Solanum lycopersicum: one gene and its partners. The protein of the gene in region 3 binds, or shares a complex with, the protein of the main gene of each other region. Links are inferred from orthologs where the notes say so. Each region holds a gene or a part of one and is shown on either strand. Other genes may lie near its edges. The genes, in order: THO complex subunit 2, THO complex subunit 3, THO complex subunit 6 and THO complex subunit 5A.

Region 1 (4,546 bases), on a different chromosome or scaffold from region 3:
GCCTTTCGTCTCCCGAGTTCAAGAATAAACAATATATTTATCTCTATGGTGATCAAGCATGGAATGCTAAAACAAGAATACAAAAAGTAACGTAAGCGATAATCAACATTAATTCAAAGCAATTGATGTTCAACAATAATTACACGTAGCTACAACCCCAAAACAAGGGTCTTTAGCTACTAATGTATAACAAAAGAAGAAAAAGAATACTAAAAAGTATGAGGACTTCGTATTTGATTGATGCCCTCCCAAGAATAGTCCATACTATGGACTATTTATAGATGTAGAAAATTTTAAATAAAATAGTCGAGTCCAAAACAAATGACGAACCCAAAACTAAAAGGAATTGGGTCTTTCGCGTGAAGCTGTTGTAATTTCAAATTTTGTGAGTGTCTTTAGATTTTGACGCATGGGAGCAGTTGTCAATTTCAATTCTACCATTCACAATTCACACATGATATATTATACATTATTATATTGAATTTAATCCATTAAGTTGCTTGCTTGATTTTCTTCAATAATCTGCCATTTTAAATTCGTTTTAGCTCTAAATTTCATCTTTATACCAATTTACTCCCTACAAATAAAATATACTATTAAACACGGTTCATAAAATTAATGCACAAAAAGGATAAATAAAATTACTAAATATGTGGCAAATAATGATTAAAAATATACATTTTTGGCCTTACATCAGTTACTGAAACTCTCCCTTAAAAACTTTAAGTTCTTCGCATTAGGCATGCGATATGATGCCATGACACTGCATTGGACTCGATTTCGTCATTCCATTTTGATACTTTAACCACTTAACACTTGAATATAGTTTCCATCTTGCACCATGCACATATGTTAACATGTCCCAATGGTCCCATCCACCACGCGTGGGTCCAAACATACATCGGGGTTATTTTAATCAGGTTATTCGGTTCATTATTGACCCGAATCAACCTTTACCATGGGTTTACATATAAGTTGTTTTCAATATCATGTCAAGATTTTGGCCGCTTGATATTTCAAATGGGTAAAATGTGGGTTTCTACCTATATTTAACCCGTAATTGTATGGGTGAAAATGGGCTTGCCATGTATGGGTTTAATTCGTAAGTTGCAGACACGACATATGTGTTCCATACAACCTATTTCAGTTATCCCTCAACTTGCTGCACTTCAACACTTCTAAATCGTCATTGAAGATGCTTGCTTCAACAGTTCAACCTGTTTGATCCTCTCAATCTCATCATAGTGATTCTCTGCATCTAGTGGGACCAAACTTCTTTTTGTTGTTTTTGAGGGGGATTAAATTTTTTTGAAACAAATGTATAACTTATATCGGTGTTGTCAAAAAGCGGTTCATGCAAAAAAGGTCATAGATCCTTTGGGGATTTAATTGCAAATTAATTGTGGGCTTAATTGAAAAAAATACAAATTGAAGAAAACTACGACTATGTATATGTAGTCCGAGATTAATAATCGTAAGCATGGATAATAAATATATGGACAATGAAATTTTGAAAAATATAACAATAATGTGAAATACCAGTTGTTTAGTGTCACATCTTTAGGATTGCACTCATTAGCAAGGAAAATTATGCCCCGGAGCTTTGATGACGACACTGAAGTGCCCATAAAGCGTGTGTGTGACTAAGCGCTCGACATGTTCTATGCTTGTAGCTTAAGAGCGCCTTTGAGAACACTGACATATACATAATGTGTAGTAGTCTAGTAGATGGCTTAGTAAAGTCATTGAATAAGAAGCACGTGTTCTACTTGTGAGGAGACAATGGTGGCTCAATTATTCCTAAATTATCTAGTAATTTTTTTACTATGCTCCATTATTTTATTAATACTGTATATGCTTGATTTTTGTTAAAAAAAAATAATCACCTTTACTTTATAAATAAGATATATTAATTATCCTATAGATTAGACCACAACAACAATATACCATGTATAATCCCACCAGTGGACTATGAAGAGGGTAGAATGCACATAGACCTTTGGAGGTAGATAGGTTGTTTCCGGTAGACCGTCAGCATAGATAAGTCCATAATGTTAATTAGAAACAGAAAGTATCATAATATTTAAGAAGTACAAAAAAGAGCATAGATTGATAATTCAGGTAGTTAAATAGGTATTTGGACAGTGGAAAATCTAAAATATCTGGTTGAGTGTGCTATCAACATAGTTAAGTGACCTTTTGAGTTTTGAGTCATAGACTCATTAATTAATTCATATTTTCTTAGTTTTTTTAGCAGGAACTTTTAAGCAGAAAATGAATTTTAATAATGTTTGAGATTTTTTGAAAAAATGAAGATACAAAGAAATGGGTTAGACTCTTTTTTTACCCAACTCAACCCGCCTATTGCCACCCCTAATTGTTAGTGTGTAATATGTATTATGAAGCTTTGCTTTCCTTTTCGATGAATCTTTCTGCAGATGATGGATCCTTCCATTATTTAGTTGAGCAGTTCTCTTTTGTTAACTTGTTTGAACTTAAAAAATATTCACCCTTTACTGTAGGGAAGAGGCACAGGCAAGCGATCTACTCCGGTTGGATCTCTGTCAAAGCAACAAAAACATGATATTGCAAAAGATGAAAAATCTGGGAAAACTGTTGGAAGAGCATCTGGAGCTGCTTCTGGTGATGTTAGTTATCCTTCTGAGAGCAGAGCAAGTGGGAGTGTTAATGTTTCTACTACAGTTTCAGGGAACGGTAGCATGTTTTCTGCTGCACCTAAAGGTGCAGCTCCATTGACGAGATTGTTAGATCCTTCAAACGAATCTAATGCTGAACATACAACTACTAAATCTGCTGATCTGAGGGTTTCTGCTGGAAAAGATGATGTCACTGAAAGTTCTGATGTGCATAAGGAGTCCACATTGCGTCTGGTTCATTCGCCTAGACAAGATGCTTCTAAAGCTAATGAAAAAGTACAGAAGAGATCTATTCCCGCAGAAGAGCTTGATAGACTGAACAAACGCCGGAAAGGTGAAATTGACGGTAGAGATACTGAATGTGCTGATGCTCGTTCATCGGAGAAAGAATGGTTAATAGATGCACGAGCTGCAGATAAACTTCATCCAGCAGATTATGATAAACATGGATCTGATGATCAAATATTGAACCGAGCCTCTGAAAAGCCTCTTGATAGATCAAAAGAAAAGGGTGGTGAAAGACCTGAGAGAGACCCCAGAGAGCGAGGGGACCGTCCTGATAGGTCTCGCGGTGATGATGCATTTGAAAAATCAAGAGATAGATCAACGGAGCGGCATGGAAGAGAACGTTCAATTGAGAGAGTACATGAGAGAGTTGCTGATAGGAACTTTGATAGGTTGAGTAAGGATGAAAGGATCAAAGATGATAGGAGCAAGCTGCGACATAATGAAGCATCTGTAGAAAAATCTCTTACAGATGATCGGTTTCATAATCAAAATTTGCCTCCACCTCCACCACTGCCTCCTCATCTGGTCCCGCAATCCATTAGTGCAGGCAGGAGAGAGGACGATTCTGATAGACGTTTTGGAACTGCCAGACATAGTCAAAGACTTTCTCCAAGGCATGATGAGAGAGAGAGACGGCGATCAGAAGAGAATAACGCATTGTTGCAGGATGATTTGAAGAGAAGGAGAGAAGATGATTTTCGAGATAGAAAGCGGGAAGAGAGAGAACTTTCAATTAAGGTAAGCCTGATTCACATTTCATGCATAATTGTTCAAGATAGAGTAGACAGTGAAATTGTTGATGTTATTACGTCATGCCCACAATTATTATTGAACTTTAGGAAAGTCACTGGAACTGAATATATACTATTATGATAGTTTAGAATTCCATCATCCTTGAGACTGATAGGTATACACATTTTCTGTCTGTATAAAAATAGATATTCTACTCACTCGTTGCATGTTATTCTTAATTCTGACATTCTAAATTTGGGAGTTCCATTTGAAGTTATTCCCATTTGCTCATACTTTTTTGAAAAAAAATCTTTGATCGTTATTCAAAGTGTGTTTTGGCTATATATCTGAGATCTAAATTTAATGTTTCTAAGCAAGCATCAAAATGGAAGTGAAGCCTCGTGAAAGAAACAACATGTTGTATTGTCAGTCTGTCTCCTTTCAAGGGGCCATTTCCTTTTTTAAAGTCCTGCCCTCTATATTTGACCATTGTTCTTAAATTGAAGAAGTTTTCCGTTTCAAGAGTGCACTTCATTTCAAAGATGGTATCAACACATGAAGATTGATGAAGAATACATTTCTAACATATACTCTTTAGCGTTATCGCTCCTTAGAATATGCACTGAAGCATTGAATTGAGTTTTGGCTTCAGCACATTCAACACATAAGCTGGCAAACTACACAGGACTTTGCATAAAATTAATGGAAAAGGATTAAAATGCCCTTAAATTATGGAAATTCAACAAAAATGCCCTCAGTTAATAGTATGGTCCAAAAATGCCCTTTGCATCAATAGATTGGTCAAGAAATGCCCCTACTACTAATTGTTTGGTCAAAAATTGCCCATATTTTTAACTAATGGGTCAAAA
Region 2 (5,223 bases), about 18 Mb from region 3:
TAAGATTTTGAGGTATTAATTTCTTCCATAATATACATTTGATTGAAGTAATGGTATTTTACAAAAAAATATAAAATCTATTATTTGTAAAATTAACATTAAAAAGATTATCGATTAATCAAATTATTTGACTTAAGTCGAGTATAATGACAACACTAAACTTGTTTTCTTCTCAATTCTCTATGATTTTAAAAATGTGTTTCTATATGCGAGCACAAAATAGTTTCACTTTTTTAATAGATGAATGATAAAGTTTTAATTTTTAAAAAATATATAAAATTTTTCATTATTGATTTATATACCTACTTGATATTCAATAATCTTCACATAAATGAGATATCAGATCTATATCACTCGTCATGTTATATTGTATTTAACAAAATAAATATATTGTGACACATTAAATTTATATCACTTGTCATGTTATAATTATATTTATTGCCAAGTATATTATATTTAAAAATTAATCAAAAGAACCTCTAAGAAATTGATGATTTGCAATTTAATCATACAAATTTAGTATAAAATATGAAAGTAAATATATTATATATGAATTACCATGTAGATAGTTCTCTATTTTGAGATATTTTCCTCAGTAATTTATTGTTCAAAATTTATTAATATAACTAATTCAAATTTATCCGAAAAAAAAAAAAAGACAACATGGAAAAAGTTAACAACTTTTTACTGTATCACCAAAGACCATCCTTGTGCTTCACACCTTAAATTAGTGGATTTTGTGGTAGGTGGCTAATAATTTCTTTTTTTGTTTGTTTGATATTTTTGTTTATTTTTATATTATATAAAATTTATGTAACAAAATGTATTCTTTAGTATAATATTTTATCTAAATTTAAAGTTAAAATATTTAATTAAGAACTAAAATAATTTATTTTTAACTGTAATTTCTTTGAATTCTGTCAAAAGAGACTATAGCTCAGCTAAAACTTTAAGATTAACACTAATGAATTTTTTTAAAATTATTTTATAATTATAATATTTGAATAAACTGATGAATATTTTCGATTAATTGCATGAAGTATTTAATTTTTTCAATTATATGTCCTTTGAAACATATCATGAATAATTGTGTTAAATTATTCGCTATCAAAATATCATACTAGTTTTATATTATTACTCAAATATAATCTAAAAAACCCACTTTTAATTCATTACAAATTAAATATACTTAATCAAATATCACAATGACTAAAATTATGAATAATTGAGGGAATAAAAGTAGAATTATCTCTAATAGTACTCTTAAATGGATGAGATTGGACTTTCTCCACGTATTTAGGAAGTTGATTGAACCTTTTTATTTTAATATTTCTTATATTCTTTAAATTGCTTTTTTGAATAGATGGGCAAGCTACTTATTTTATTTTATATCTAATCCCCAATCACATCAATTAATCTCCAGAAAAAGTGGGAAATAAGAAGTATTATTTGTTCAAACTTTTGAATTAAATTTAAAATTATTGAAAATGTTGTCTTGCTCAAAAGTCATAATTGTACAGTTTTGACAATTATTTGATAGGTACTAATATTTTGTTATATGTATTTTTCAATTAATAGACCAAATAAATAAATAATATAAAAGATATCATTTTGATGAACACTTTGACTTATGCTTGTGAAAAAATAAAATATTGTTAAAAAAGTAAATATATGCCAGTACACACAAACATGTACAATAAATATTTCTACGATTAATTCCTTCACAATTATTAGATGAAAAAAATATCAAAGATTAATTTCCACCATTTATATTATTATTTCTATAAAATATATGAATTGTTTCTTTATAACAAAAGAATTATAATTACGGTAAATCAATGGATCTTAAATGTTATACACCAAAATAATTTATTAAAGTTGAACACTTCTAGCTCTTGATCATTGTTATAACACAAAATATGTAACTCGTTTAAATTTAAACCTTGAAATTCCCGTTTAGATGATTTTTTTTTTCTGTTTAAAAGAGGGCTCACCTATTTCTCATGAGGCAGTTTCAACAAAAATAACTACTAGCGACCATGTGTTAATTACCAAAAATGCTCAATTTCGACAGTATAAAGGACTATTTTAGACCATTCTCAAACTTAAAGGACTAGTCTATCATTTTCTAAACAGGGTTGGCATGAAACGACAATATTGTGTGTCGTTTTGTTCGTCTTCTACACAAGCAAAAAAAATATTCAGAGAAGTAAACGGAGCAAACAAGCAGAAGAGTAATGGCGGAAACAATACCCTTCAAAAATCTTCATAGCAGAGAGTACCAGGGACACAAGAAGAAGGTTTCTCTCTCTAAAACTATTCCTTCACTTCATTGTTAACAATACAACCCTAATTTTGCTTTTCCTTTTTATGAACTCTCTGATTAGATGAATTGACTATGTGATACTTTATCTTCTCTGTTTTTTTAAAAAAAATTAAAGGTGCATTCGGTGGCATGGAACTGCAGTGGCACGAAATTAGCTTCAGGTTCTGTGGATCAAACAGCTCGTATTTGGCAAATTGAGCCTCATGGTCATGTAAGCTTCATGAGCTCATCTTTTTTGTTTTCAGTTAAGTTTTAATGCTGAAAAAAGGATAGCTTTTTGTTATTGCTCTGATTTTTAAATGTTCTACTGAAGTGGTGGGAAACTGGGTGTTGTAAATAAACTGAAAAAAGGATAGCTTTTTATGATATATGCATGAACTTAGGCACCTGAGATTTTCTCTAGAGTTAAGAAGCTGGTCTCTCACTTTAGTTGTTTCTGCCAAAGTCTAGTTCTATGTGGTATGAGTTAAGGAACCTATGATAGTAATGCCTGTTGCAGTTAGGTTTAAATTTTGTTGTTACTTATCAAAGGTGGGGTAAAGTAAGCGTAACCTCACTTGTGGGAGGTCATACGAATTCGATGTTATAGATACACAGAGAGGTTTGAATTGGGAGAATGGGTAAAAAGATGCAGAAATGCTCCAGAGTTGTACAGGATGGTAAAATATCGCATGTCCCAGCTCAACGCACTTGGTGTGGAGTTATAGAAAAGCTGGAAAGGTAGCAAAGGAACATTTGGGATGCGGCGGATGGGACAAAGAAGTTTCACCTAGTGGGACGGGAGACCGTGACATCTCCTAAACAGTGGTGAGGACTTGGGGTTAAAGACTTGAAGGTTTTTAACAAAGTCCTCTTGGATAAATGGCTTTGGAGATTCGAGATGGAGGAAGAAGCTTTATGGGAGGGGTGATAGCGGACAAATATGGAGTTATGGAAGGAAGATGGAGAACAAATGTGGTTACCTTCCGAGTTTGGCATGTAGAAGAATATAATGAAGGGGTGGGAAGCCTTTAACAAAAACATTTTCTTTTAAGTTTGGGGTTGGGAGGAGACTAGTTTTTGGGGGTCAAAAGTGGTGCAGTGATTTGGTTAAAGAATGATTTCTTGGTGTTGTATAGCATTTCTGGGCAAAGGGAGCTGTCTGTTCAGCAAATTAGGGGGTGGGACCTTCTGGGATTTCCGAAATTGGGAGATGACCGATCTTCAAAGCTTTCTAGTTTTATACCATAAGCAATGCAAACCAGTAGATAGACCTGATGCTTTGAGTTGGGAGTTGGTGAATAAAAAAGTGTTCTCTATTAAGTCCTATAAAAGCTTCCTGTTAGGGTGGAAGTTAGTTTTCTGTATGACTCGGTATGGACACCTAAGGTGCTGAAGAAGGTGTATTTCTTCTTGTGGTTAGCTACTAAAGGGGTGATATTGACGGTGAAGAATCTTAGGGAATGAAAGGTGGTGGGCATAAGTTGTTGTTTCTTGTGTCAAGAGGCAGGAGAGGACATGATCAATATTTTGCTACATTGCAAAACATCTCGAGGTTATGGTAGGATATCTTTAGATGGTTTGATATTTCTTGGGCAATCCCAAATGTCTGTTGAAGTGTTGATGTTCAGTTGGAAGAGTGGAGTTAGGATAAGAAGACACAAGGTGTGAATGTTACTCCTCTTGCAGTAATGTGGGTCATTTGGAAAGAGAGAAATAGGAGAGCTATTGAAAGGGTGGAGAATTGGAGATTAGCTTTGCTCAATTGAGGAGTAGTCTCCGATCCCTTATTTTCTTTTGGTGTAATTTTTGTTTGTATAGAGGATTGAGGTGTCTTTTGGAGAACCATGTTTGGTAGGTTTCTCCTTTTGTGGTATACTCCTTTTATATGACCAAGATAGCCTTGTTATTATCAATTAAATCTTTTACTTGGTCATAGACCAGATAAATTTTTACTTTGTTAGTAGATCGAGTGCTCCATAACTCTATATCATTTGTCATTTCTCTTTATCAAGGCTATAAACATACTTTTATCTTGTTTCATAGTCGCAAAAATCCCAAGTTCCTCAACTTTGGAATTTGCATGAAGATTGAATGATATTTTGCTTCTGTTGCTCTGTATCAATACTATAAATGTACTTTTATCTTGTTTCATAGTCACAGATCCCAAGTTCCTCAACTTTGGAACTTGCATGAAGATTGTAGTATATTTTGCCTTTGCTTGCAAAAACCTGAACAATTAATAGCTTGCCACCATAAAACTACACTAAAATGATTGCGCCCTATCTATGTTTTCAATATTCTAGTCTTTTCTCATTCTTGAGAGGTGGAGTATAGAACCTCTTATGTCTGCATACACTCCAAGTCTCTGATAGCTCTTTTGCAGGGAAAGGTAAAAGATGTTGAATTAAAGGGTCACACCGACAGTGTGGACCAGTTATGTTGGGATCCAAAACATGCAGAATTGATAGCTACAGCATCTGGTGACAAGACAGTTCGATTATGGGATGCCCGTAGTAAGTTTATATTATTTTGCACCAGCAATAAGCTGCCAAAGTACTGTATGAAATAATGAGTTGGAATTTAAAGAATGTAATGCTATAAGAGCCTATGTCTATTGGTTACTTGAGGACTTGCACTATATTTATTCCCATAAAGTAATCATCCGAGAACAATATTACTCCTGTTTCAAAAATAATTGGAGGGGTCTAGCGTAAGTGGGTCAAACCTGTTAATTTCCGGTCTCAATTCATACATCAGTTTCTTATGTCTAGAACAATCTTATATAGTTAGAAACTGGAAAAAAGAAAACTATAAATTACACATTCTAATATGAAAATATTTTTGGTCAAAGAAAAGGTTATTTGACTGCTTAGAAGTATGTCATGTAAAGTGGAACCCAGGGGGGTTGGGTATGA
Region 3 (5,232 bases):
CTCAAATAACTATCTCATTATATAAGATCAATATCTAATATAAATTATTTTTTAAAATTAAATTAACACTGCTTTATTTATTATTAAATATGAGTGTTACAATCATTAAACAATTAATTACGCATTATAAATTGATTATATGTGAAATTGTAATGGAATTGATCATCTGGTATCTCAAATAATTACATCATTTTATAAGATCACTATGTAATATAAATTGTAAGCGTAAATTAAATGAAACTACTCAAATTTTCATTAAATATGAGTGGTATTGTCAATTGAATTAGCCAATTAATTTGCTTACTTATTAAAGAAAATTTAGTAATTTCTATATAAAGTACAACAACTTTCTTACTTTTTGTGGAAAACTTCAGCAATTGCTATGAAAACTACAATAATTTTCGTACTTGTTATAGAAATTTTGAGCAATTTTTGTAAAAAACTATAACAATTCGTTTAATTGTTGTAGAGAATTTCAGCAATTGCAATAAAAAAAATATAACAACTCATTTAATTGTTGTAGAGGATTTCAGCAATTGTTATGAATACAACAATTTACTTATTGTTCGTAGCAAATTCAAATAAAATTACAATCCAATATAGATTTTCCTTTTAAATTAGTCAAAATCCTTATATTTATTATTAAGTCTAAATACATAAAATCCATCCTGAAGTTGGCAGCAAAACTTGTTTTAGTACTTTAACTTTACGGGTAATTATTTGCCCCCCTAATCTTTTTGCAAGTGAATTAAATAACACCTTACATATACAATACCAGTTTCATATACATGGGTGAAGTGCAGGCGCTCCACCTAAGTGTCACATCGATGACATGTTAGATAATTATTATTTTTTTACTTTTCCAAATCTTTTTTAAAATATTATTTTTCACTCTTCACCCACCCTCTTCATTATTTAATTTGGGTCAATTTCTTAAGATCCAAAATTTCATATTGATTGATTCATTTTATTTTTCATTGCTTTGTAATTATTTACTATTACTCCCATCAATACTTATATCAGTCACCATATATTTTTTTCAACTAGATGAAACTATCAATTCATATCAACAATGGCGATTTTAAATTTATGCAAAATTGATAAGCTAATTTTTTAGATTTGATGTTGCTTTACTTATTTCACTTCTTAATACATATTCATGTATAGATTAAGTAAGGTTATAATTAGATGAATAATTATTTTGTCAAGGAAAATCAAATCTCAAAAGTAAAGGATAAAGAAAATTATGTAGATCGTAAATGTGATTTTCTATTTTTGTATATCCAAAAAATGTATAAAATCCATCACTATTCTTTTCATCTATCACTAAAGATTCATCCCGAGTCAAAAAACAATTTCTTATTTTCATTTTTTTTCCTCTTTCCGTTATAATAATGTAGTGCAGTTAAATAGAAATTTAGTTACATGCCATCGATATCATTTTGCTAAATCAAAAATATCCATAAAATTTCTATTATCAACAAACGCCTACTTAGTATTAGTATTAGTATTCATTGGAATCTCCATTTTATTATAACTTTTTGCTAGCTTTAAAAAAATATTTGAATCTGTTCTTATTTTGATTCTTAGTTGTGGATTTTTGTGTATTTGTTGTCTGCAATTTTTCTCTCAAGGAAAACCGATCTAGATATATCCATCTTGATGGTCTCATGTCACCTCACTTTATCCCTTTTGCTTTAATCAATTCCCTTGAGATCAATGACTTTGAGGAAATAAAAATTCTCACTTTTGTTAGGACATGTTTAAAATTTCAAATTTTCAATTTGATTTTGTTTGGAGTCTTAAAAAAAAAAAAAAACTTTACTTCCGTTAGCTTGAGTTTTGATAAGAGGATTTGCCATGATAGCAAAAAATTATAATTCAAAAGTAATATAAAAATTTATATACAAAAACAATGCAATGAATCATCAACCGTTACAATCTCAAAATCCTAGCTATGAAAGAAAAGAATATTACCTTAAGGGGTAGATGACGACGATGACGAAAAAGATAAATTGAATTCGCAACTTGAGAGGAAGGCATTGAAAAGTCGTAGCAATAGAGTTGTTCGCAACAATGTACCCAAAATACACTGTTAACTTGAGAGAAAAGAAAGATAATGAGAATTGGGTTTATTCAAGTGTTTTAAAAATTTAAAAAATTTAAATATTGTATTTTAAATTCCAATTATCTTAATCTCTAATTAATTTTTTTTTTAACTCGGATCAGTAATTTGTCACCAATTTTAATTTCTAAACACTTTTTGTCAAAATCCCCTCAATTATCTCGATTCACTACACACAAAACATTACGGTAACAATGGCGACAGCCATGGACTGCAGAAACTGGGAAGAAGACATATACAGAGATTCCATTATACTCGAGAGAGAATCTCAATGTCGAACGGTCTTCCGGACTGCATTTGCCCCGAACCCGGACCATAATTCCTATCCGGACCTCATCGTCGCCGCCATTAGCGACGGCTCCATTGCGGCTTACTCTATCTCTTCTTGCCTTGTAAGCTCAATATTACAGTCTATAAAGTAGGAAAGAACGTTAATATAGGGGTTGCTCTACAAACTAATTGCTACTATTTAATTCCTTTTTCTTATTGATAGGGATTGAACTCAGCGGGCAAGTGAGTTTCTGTTGTCTCAATGTTTTCGAAGTGTTCTGGTCAGGTTTTATTTGGATTGATATTTTATTTGGTGATGTTGGTTTAGTTCATTGGTGCCAGTAGCTGAACCTAGTTGGCTGGTACAAGGACATGATGGACCTGCTTATGATGTTAAATTTTATGGTAACCATGAAGATTCACTATTATTGAGGTAGCTTTTCAGAATTTGCGTCTATCTTTCTGTACTGATAAAGCTGTAGGTAAATTTGCACAGATGGGAGATATTACAACTTTTTTCTTTTGTTTAGAATCAAAATTATGGGAAAATGTTACTTCAAGTATCTAAAATGCAGGTAAGAACTTTTAGCTTGACTAGAGCTCATATGCTATATTGCTTGGACTCTTCAAAAATGTCATTGGGTGCGTGACGAAGGATTCTCCAAAAGTAGTGTATTTTTGAATAATCTGACACAGTTGAGGCATCAAAAGTGAAGAGTCCGTGCAAGTTAGCTCATATGTTAGGGCAAGTAGAGAAAAGTTGTAAAACTGTTTCGTACGGAGGTTTTAGAGAGTTGTAGTTAATGATTGAGCTGTGAAACTATGTGAAGTAATTTTCTTTTCAATTAAGTAAGCAAGAGAGGCAATTATCTTGTGGTACTTATTACATAAAAGTAAATAAATCCTATTAATTTCACCGGTTAGTGTTATTTATTCTATCACATGTGCCAATTCTTTGTTAATATATGTAATTTCATGCAGTTGTGGTGATGATGGTCGGATTCGAGGATGGAAGTGGAAAGAAATGTTGGGATCTACGGAATCAGCACAAGGTAACATCTTTTTTGTGTGTGCAGTAATGTATCCTTGAGTAGTTTGAGATTGAGGTGTAGTTATATTGTTGTTGAATGACGGATTCTAACATCCTATTTATGAACATTTAAAAATGTTGAGCTCCTTTGCTTGGATTTGCTTCCAGTTCTAGCATCCAACACTTTTGCTGTATTGAAACTGATGCAGCTGAATGATTTGTTTGGCGGACAAACTTGTTATAATGTCCTCACATTATGAAAGTAAGTTCAGGAGGGGAAAGAACAGGGGATGCAATGTATATGTATTTGTGTCTTTCATCAGCTTACCAGATTAGAAGTTAAAAATGTCAATTCAGCAACTTCAGATTTTCAATCTGCCCCTCTTGTAGCAGTTCAGCTGATGTTTTTTTTTTCTGATGAAGGTAACAACTTATATTAGATCACAAAAAGGGCTGTGAAGCAGTATTCACAGGAGTATTAGAAGGCAAAAGCTACTATTCTAGGAAGATATCTTCTAGCAAAAAGGAAAACTATAGAGACTCTAGGACTTGAAGTAGTGTTTCAGTGTCTTCTATGTATTCTTGTTTACATTAAAAATGAAATAGCAAAATAGAATTAAACTTTATCTTTTGGATTGGGTTTCTTTTGCATTCAAAATCAAAACATCTTTAATGTCTTTCCTTCTAAATATCCCTCCATATGCATCCTGGGATTATGCTCCATCTTCTTTTCTGAACTTTGGTGCTCCCTTTTCTTCTCCAGCTAGATAGCATCTCTACTGAACTCCCTGACATAGTCCTGCTCAAGCCTACATAACCCAAAACAAATCCCAGAGTTGGGTGGTTACTCTGCAGTGCAGGAACAAATGATTAGTTGTTTCTGCAGTTCTTCCATATAAAAGACAGATAGAACATAGCTGTAGTTGCATTCTTTGTTGCTTATCCTGTATCGAACAAGCCTTTTTACAATACAAAGCAGGGCACCTTATATGGAATCATAGTCTTTCTATCTGTGCTTCCAAGGCCAAAAGTCACTAATATTGTTGCCATAAATCAGCTAGTGGTTTGCTGTTTTGATTGAGAATTCACCTGAGTTGTGGGTTTTTCCACCATAATATGTCTCTGAGGAGGGTGGTTCCAGTATATTGAGCAAGTGTGTCATAGAATTCTGCAAATCTGCTAATCTCCTATAGCTAAAATTCCATGGGAATCAGTCGGGACACGGGGAGAGATGGAAGATTGTCCCAACCTGCATTTGGTGGACTATATGGATGGAAAGGAACCAGAGATGTTTCGAAAACAAGAGCCGCTCTCTGCAGAAACTGAAGATGAACTGTCTAGTCCTTTTTTTTTGGGTGTAACACAAATATCCTCAAGAAGAGGATATTCCTAGTATTTTAGAATTTATGAAGCTTAGTAGGGACACCTCTCCCTCTGTAATTTTGTTGCAAGTATACTGGAATACTTTTCTGAGTATTCCTTTTGTTCATAATACAAGTTACCTTCTTCAAAAAAAAATAAAATTTCCAGCCAAGATTACTCCATTCACCAATTTGGCTCTTTGCTACTGATTCAGGATCTAAACCTCCATTAAGAGAAATTTTAAGGATCCAATTCAAGCCAGTTTTTTTGAAAAACGGTAATGTTGTATTCCTCAGCATTAAGGACATGCTGGTGACCTCCAAAAATTCGTACATAGAGGGACTTGGAAGGCTAATTACAAAAAGCCTAACATATCCCTGCCACTGTAGGATGTCTTGTCCAGCCTACAAACCACTGAATTGGTCAATGGTGCTGAATAATTTTG
Region 4 (5,001 bases), on a different chromosome or scaffold from region 3:
TAGTTGAAAATGACTTCCTCAAGGATCCAAGGCAGTAATAAATTCTTCTTATTCTTGTTGTCTCTATATCTCAAGTTTGACATGGAATGGGATTCTAAAGATTTTCATGTTTTTACTATAGCATCCTTCATTGGGGGCTTCAGAATAATCTCTAGTACTTTGCTATAATCTGTGTTATCATTTTTGTCTTAGATTTAGTAAGCTATGCTAATTCTTACATGAATAAATTGTATAAACTCTGTGGCTGTACTGCACCTTACATATGTTAAATGGATTCAGGAGTTACACAAGGCAATGAAGGGCTTGGGGACGAATGATACAACTCTCATAAGGATAATAGTCACGCGAACTGAGATTGATATGCAGTATATAAAAGCAGAGTACCAGAAAAAGTATAAGAAATCTCTTAATGATGCTGTTCATTCGGAGACTTCTGGTGATTATCGGACCTTTCTTCTATCTCTTCTGGGGCCTGGTCACTGAATCAAGAGTCTACGCCATGCAACAGGTGTTATTAGTGTGGTATTAGTGTTGAAACTAGTGTGTAAGCAGTTTCTATTGTATGCTAATTATTGTTTGCTTATTTGCTGAGTAGTTGATTTGGAACAATGTCTGTCCATGATCAGTTGGATACCTTTTTTAGTTTAGTCGAATGCTAAGTGTGAATGGTGTTGTGAAGGTGCTTTCAGATGTACACTTATTTGGGTATGTTTGGTACCGGAGGAAAATATATTTTTTCCCACCTAAATTTCTCATGTTTGGTTGGTTAAATTTTTTGAAAAATATTTTGCAACATCCGTTATTTCCTGCCCTCACTTTAATAGATTTGTTGTTTGTGCGGTCAGTATTTTATATTGTTGAAAAATTAAGTTTATACTTTGTTCACTGATTATGATGGTCCAATTGAGATTTTTTTACGTATGAGTTAGAAAGTCAACTTTAACATCTCTCAACCATGTCATAATTTTATTCATCTCATTGTAATCGCGTTTAGTAAATTTTGACTGTGTATGACTGTGTTGGGTAGGCAATAATATTTATAGACTATCACGTAACTTTGACCAATCATTCCTTTAAAAAAACTCTCGAGAGCCACAAATATTAAAAGAATGGACAATAATAAGTAGTTGAAGAAAATTTGTTTTCCTATTCAATTTTAAATGCTACATAGATTGCTCTTTTATTATAGGGTGATGATTTGCTTCATATATCTCATTTTAAGGGTATTAAGTATGTTTTATACAATTAAACAAATGAAGAAAAAAAGGAAGTGGTTTGAAAATATAATTGTGTCTAATGGTAAATGATCACATTAAAAGTAGTATTAAAATTTTGAAGTCAAACTATTATTGTTGTTATTATTATTTTTAGAGCGCTCGCTACTTTATTTGCTTGTCGGAAGTTATGACGGACTATCAAATTTCCCAACAATTTTTCAAAAATTTTTGATTAATTAAAAAATAAAATATTAAAGGAAGGAATTTACTAAATTTGTATTTGTATTTTCTAAACGAGTAAACAATGTATCACATAGAAAATAATTTTTGAGTAATACAAGAACATCTTGAAACAAAAACATATCTCTTTTTAAAAAAATCTTTTGCCTAATTTTTTTTCCTTTTAAATTATGGAAATTAATGCTTAAAAAAGGAGAAAAAAGAAGGAAGCAATAAGAAGGGAAGACCGAAGCGCTCGCTCGAGCAAGAGTAAACGGATCAAACCCTAGTAACGTACACATCCAGAAGCTTAATGTACCACTTAAACCTGTAGGCAGCGACTGAGTAAAGATGAAAATGGACGTAACCATGGGGGAACCCGGTGAGATACTGCCGGAGCACAAGCCGGAAAGGTCGCCGCACGAGGTTCTGCAGCAAAGCAAAGCTTCAGTAGAGGAAATCGTCTCGAAAATGCTTTCTATGAAGAAAGAAAGCACGCCGAAATCTGAAATTCGCGAACTTGTCACTCAGATTTTCATCAACTTCGTCTCTCTCCGTCAGGTTAATATTTCATTGCATCTCCAATTGTTCCTTTTTAAAGTTCTATGAGTCCAGTTTCCAATTAAATAATCCGCTCGTCAATCCGATTTTGAAGTAGAGGTAGCATTTTGTTGTTAACGAAGTGATTAGACCAGTCAAACGAAGATGAGTTTAAGTTTAAGTATGAGCTGTTAGTACTCTAGACTCAATTTTTATATATGTATCATCCTTATGAATGTTGGTTGATGTAATTCAATGGACTCAGCTACAATACTCAGTGAGAGACTGAGAGTTGCTCTAAACCTTTGTAGGTAGATTTACCGGAGACCTGTGCTTTTTAGGTACAGCTGCCCTGGCGCTAGTTCATTTGGGACTATCATGGAGGGAGTCTATGCATAGTTAATTAATCGGATTTAGGAAACTGCGACCTTTCTCCGTTGTATTCTATTTTCATCCTGCAAAACACCTGTTAGTATTGTTTATCTTTGATCACTCTGGTTGGTAATCTCAACTCAATTTTATTTATTGAGTAGTTCTGATCTACGTGTACATAACAAACAAAAAGAACTGTATACATGTGCTTCCGTTTCTTCCTTTCTCTTTTTGGCAATTAAAGAAACATTTTATTAATTTCCAACTACCAAGTGAACTCTTTACAAAGCTAGGATGAAATATGAATTAACCAATTCAATCCTTTCTCATCTCATCTGCTAGAAACCAAACTAAATGGCAAATATAGTTAACTGCTCATTTAGTGATTCTACATATCTAAACAACATCCTACTATTCCTAGTTCTTGTGTTCAGAGAGAGCTTCATCTAAGTGTACTAGTTTCTCCTTGTGCATGGATGTGATTTGCAAAATCTGTCTGTTTCTTTCTGGCCATATACCATAAACCACCATAGTTAGACTACTTTTAAGTATCATCTTCCTTGGATCTTCGCCTCTGAAATTTTGTTGCATCCAACTCCATTCAAGTTCCCACTCCAGTATTGCCTTGATCCTTTTCTGCAATTTGCATATGTCGCTCCATATATCTTTAGTAAACTGACACTTGAAAAATAGGTGACTTCCAGTCTCGACTAAAGTGCTGCAGAAGATGCAAACAGGATATACACGAGTCCCCATCTCAAGAATAAATTTTTAGTTTTTAGCTTCCCCTGTAGACTCAGCCATAGGATGAAACTGTGTCTAGGTACAGCTATGTTATGACATAACAATTTATTTCATTTTGGTCATGGTACTAGGAAATGGAATCCTTAAATGGCGCCTTATATCACAATAATATAAGCAGCTGATTCTGTAGAGTGGGCTGCAATAAGGGCCCGGTGTCATTATGTTAATGAAAAATGGCTCGGCAGTATGTTGACGAATTGTCCCTCTATAAAAACAAGTTTTATAAGTCCAGGGACATGAGAATAGATCAAAAAACAGGGAGACTCAACCGTCTCCTGAAAGAGATGCAGCTTTGTTGAAAAGACAATTATCTCGCTTGCAAACATATCTGGGCGAGATTAAATATATGACTGGGGTACCCGATATTGTAATCAGCGTTGATCAACACGAAGATATATGGCCCTGTGAGAGTGTTATTACTTTAGGAATTCCGACAATTTGTTTCTCGAAGATTAGGTCTAGTTGTTAGGCTGTACCCTTAATATTGGAGAGTCGGTTGTATCTTCTTGTGTTTAAACTCGAATTCTGATTGAATGAAATTATTGCTTGATTGCTTTACTTCTCAAACTTGAACATGCTTCACTGCAAATTGCTCATATAATGTCTCTTAGGGTTGCAGTTATTATTGTTAGGCTGGACATATTCCATGTAAAGTTTAGATTCATATATTTTTATTTGATTTTTTGAGCTCCACACTTTGAGTAAGGTACTAATCCTTGAAATTTGTGGAACGTTTTGGGCTCTCTTATTTCATCTTACCATTATTAAGTTGTTTTAATAAACCAACGTTAGGATTGCGGAATAGCAAAATAATTGTGCCATTAAATCTATGCACGGAAGTAATTTGTGCCTGGAAATCTATAATATGTTCGACTGACTTTTTCACACTACCTTAAACGTCCCATAGGCAAATAGATCAATATTGCTCGAAGAGGATCGTGTGAAGGGGGAAACTGAACGTGCAAAAGCTCCTGTGGACTTCACCACGCTGCAGCTCCACAACTTGATGTATGAAAAAAGTCATTATGTGAAAGCTATAAAGGCCTGCAAAGATTTCAGGTCAAAATATCCTGATATTGAACTTGTTCCCGAGGAAGAATTCTTTAGAGATGCACCCTTGGAGATAAAAAACACTGTTCTGTCAAATGATAACTCACATAATTTGATGCTAAAGCGGTTCAATTTTGAGCTATTCCAGGTAAACTAGTTTAATGCAATTGGCGAGCACTTCTTTCTATTTCCGCACTAGTAATTGGCGAGCACTCCTTTCTATTTCCACATTAGTAATTGTTTACTAGTGTTCTTTCTCAGCATGTTGTGCGAAACGGAGTTGTTAGAAGTTTCATGTTGCTTGGTGAATCAAATTCTTATCTTTATTCTTAAACTCTATGTCTTTATGTACTATCATCTTTCCTTTTTTTTTTCTTTTTTTTTTTAAAGGTAATATTATAATCATCTTCTTTATTTCAATTACTAAACTGGTTCCAGAAGTAGATGTTGTGAAGAAAGTTTCATACCCAATGTTGTTACAATCAATAAAAATACTCTGAAACTATACCCAGTTTGGCTACCCTTTAGTGATGCTTTTGACTGTGGATTCTGCACATATTGTACTTATCTGTTCTTTTTTTTTAAAATATATGTTATGTGTAGAGGTTGTAACATGTTATTGCATGAGCTCGAAAAAATCTTGGGTATTTTAGTATTGGCTAATGTTGAGGTCAAATTTTATGCTTCTCTTGACTCTTTTATGTCGCTAAGTTTGAGGTCACATGGAGGTTTGTACGTCAATGGGGAATAGAGATATTCTGAAAATATACCCACCTTGACTTCCCTTGTAGTGGTGCTT

The links.
Region 1: THO complex subunit 6 (region 3) and THO complex subunit 2 share a complex: the UniProt entries of both Arabidopsis thaliana proteins name them as parts of the THO complex. The link is inferred for Solanum lycopersicum from reciprocal best matches to the Arabidopsis thaliana genes DWA1 and THO2.
Region 2: THO complex subunit 6 (region 3) and THO complex subunit 3 share a complex: the UniProt entries of both Arabidopsis thaliana proteins name them as parts of the THO complex. The link is inferred for Solanum lycopersicum from reciprocal best matches to the Arabidopsis thaliana genes DWA1 and TEX1.
Region 4: THO complex subunit 6 (region 3) and THO complex subunit 5A share a complex: the UniProt entries of both Arabidopsis thaliana proteins name them as parts of the THO complex. The link is inferred for Solanum lycopersicum from reciprocal best matches to the Arabidopsis thaliana genes DWA1 and THO5.

What each region holds. Positions count from the first base shown.
Region 1 is NC_090804.1:20,333,079-20,337,624, reverse strand, and holds part of THO complex subunit 2, read left to right. Parts: intron 1-2,522; coding exon 2,523-3,683; intron 3,684-4,546. UniProt on the Arabidopsis thaliana protein: Acts as a component of the THO subcomplex of the TREX complex which is thought to couple mRNA transcription, processing and nuclear export.
Region 2 is NC_090806.1:70,055,264-70,060,486, reverse strand, and holds the start of THO complex subunit 3, read left to right. Parts: upstream 1-2,120; 5' UTR 2,121-2,237; coding exon 2,238-2,300; intron 2,301-2,441; coding exon 2,442-2,537; intron 2,538-4,691; coding exon 4,692-4,821; intron 4,822-5,223. UniProt on the Arabidopsis thaliana protein: Acts as a component of the THO subcomplex of the TREX complex which is thought to couple mRNA transcription, processing and nuclear export. Contributes to the integrity of the endogenous trans-acting small interfering RNA (ta-siRNA) pathway.
Region 3 is NC_090806.1:51,842,697-51,847,928, reverse strand, and holds the start of THO complex subunit 6, read left to right. Parts: upstream 1-2,031; 5' UTR 2,032-2,319; coding exon 2,320-2,517; intron 2,518-2,618; coding exon 2,619-2,638; intron 2,639-2,723; coding exon 2,724-2,828; intron 2,829-3,376; coding exon 3,377-3,447; intron 3,448-5,232. UniProt on the Arabidopsis thaliana protein: Acts as a component of the THO subcomplex of the TREX complex which is thought to couple mRNA transcription, processing and nuclear export.
Region 4 is NC_090803.1:65,322,136-65,327,136, forward strand, and holds the start of THO complex subunit 5A, read left to right. Parts: upstream 1-1,496; 5' UTR 1,497-1,787; coding exon 1,788-1,997; intron 1,998-2,287; exon of another isoform or gene 2,288-2,473; intron 2,474-4,059; coding exon 4,060-4,350; intron 4,351-5,001. Other genes in the region: annexin D5, read left to right, coding at 280-483. UniProt on the Arabidopsis thaliana protein: Acts as a component of the THO subcomplex of the TREX complex which is thought to couple mRNA transcription, processing and nuclear export.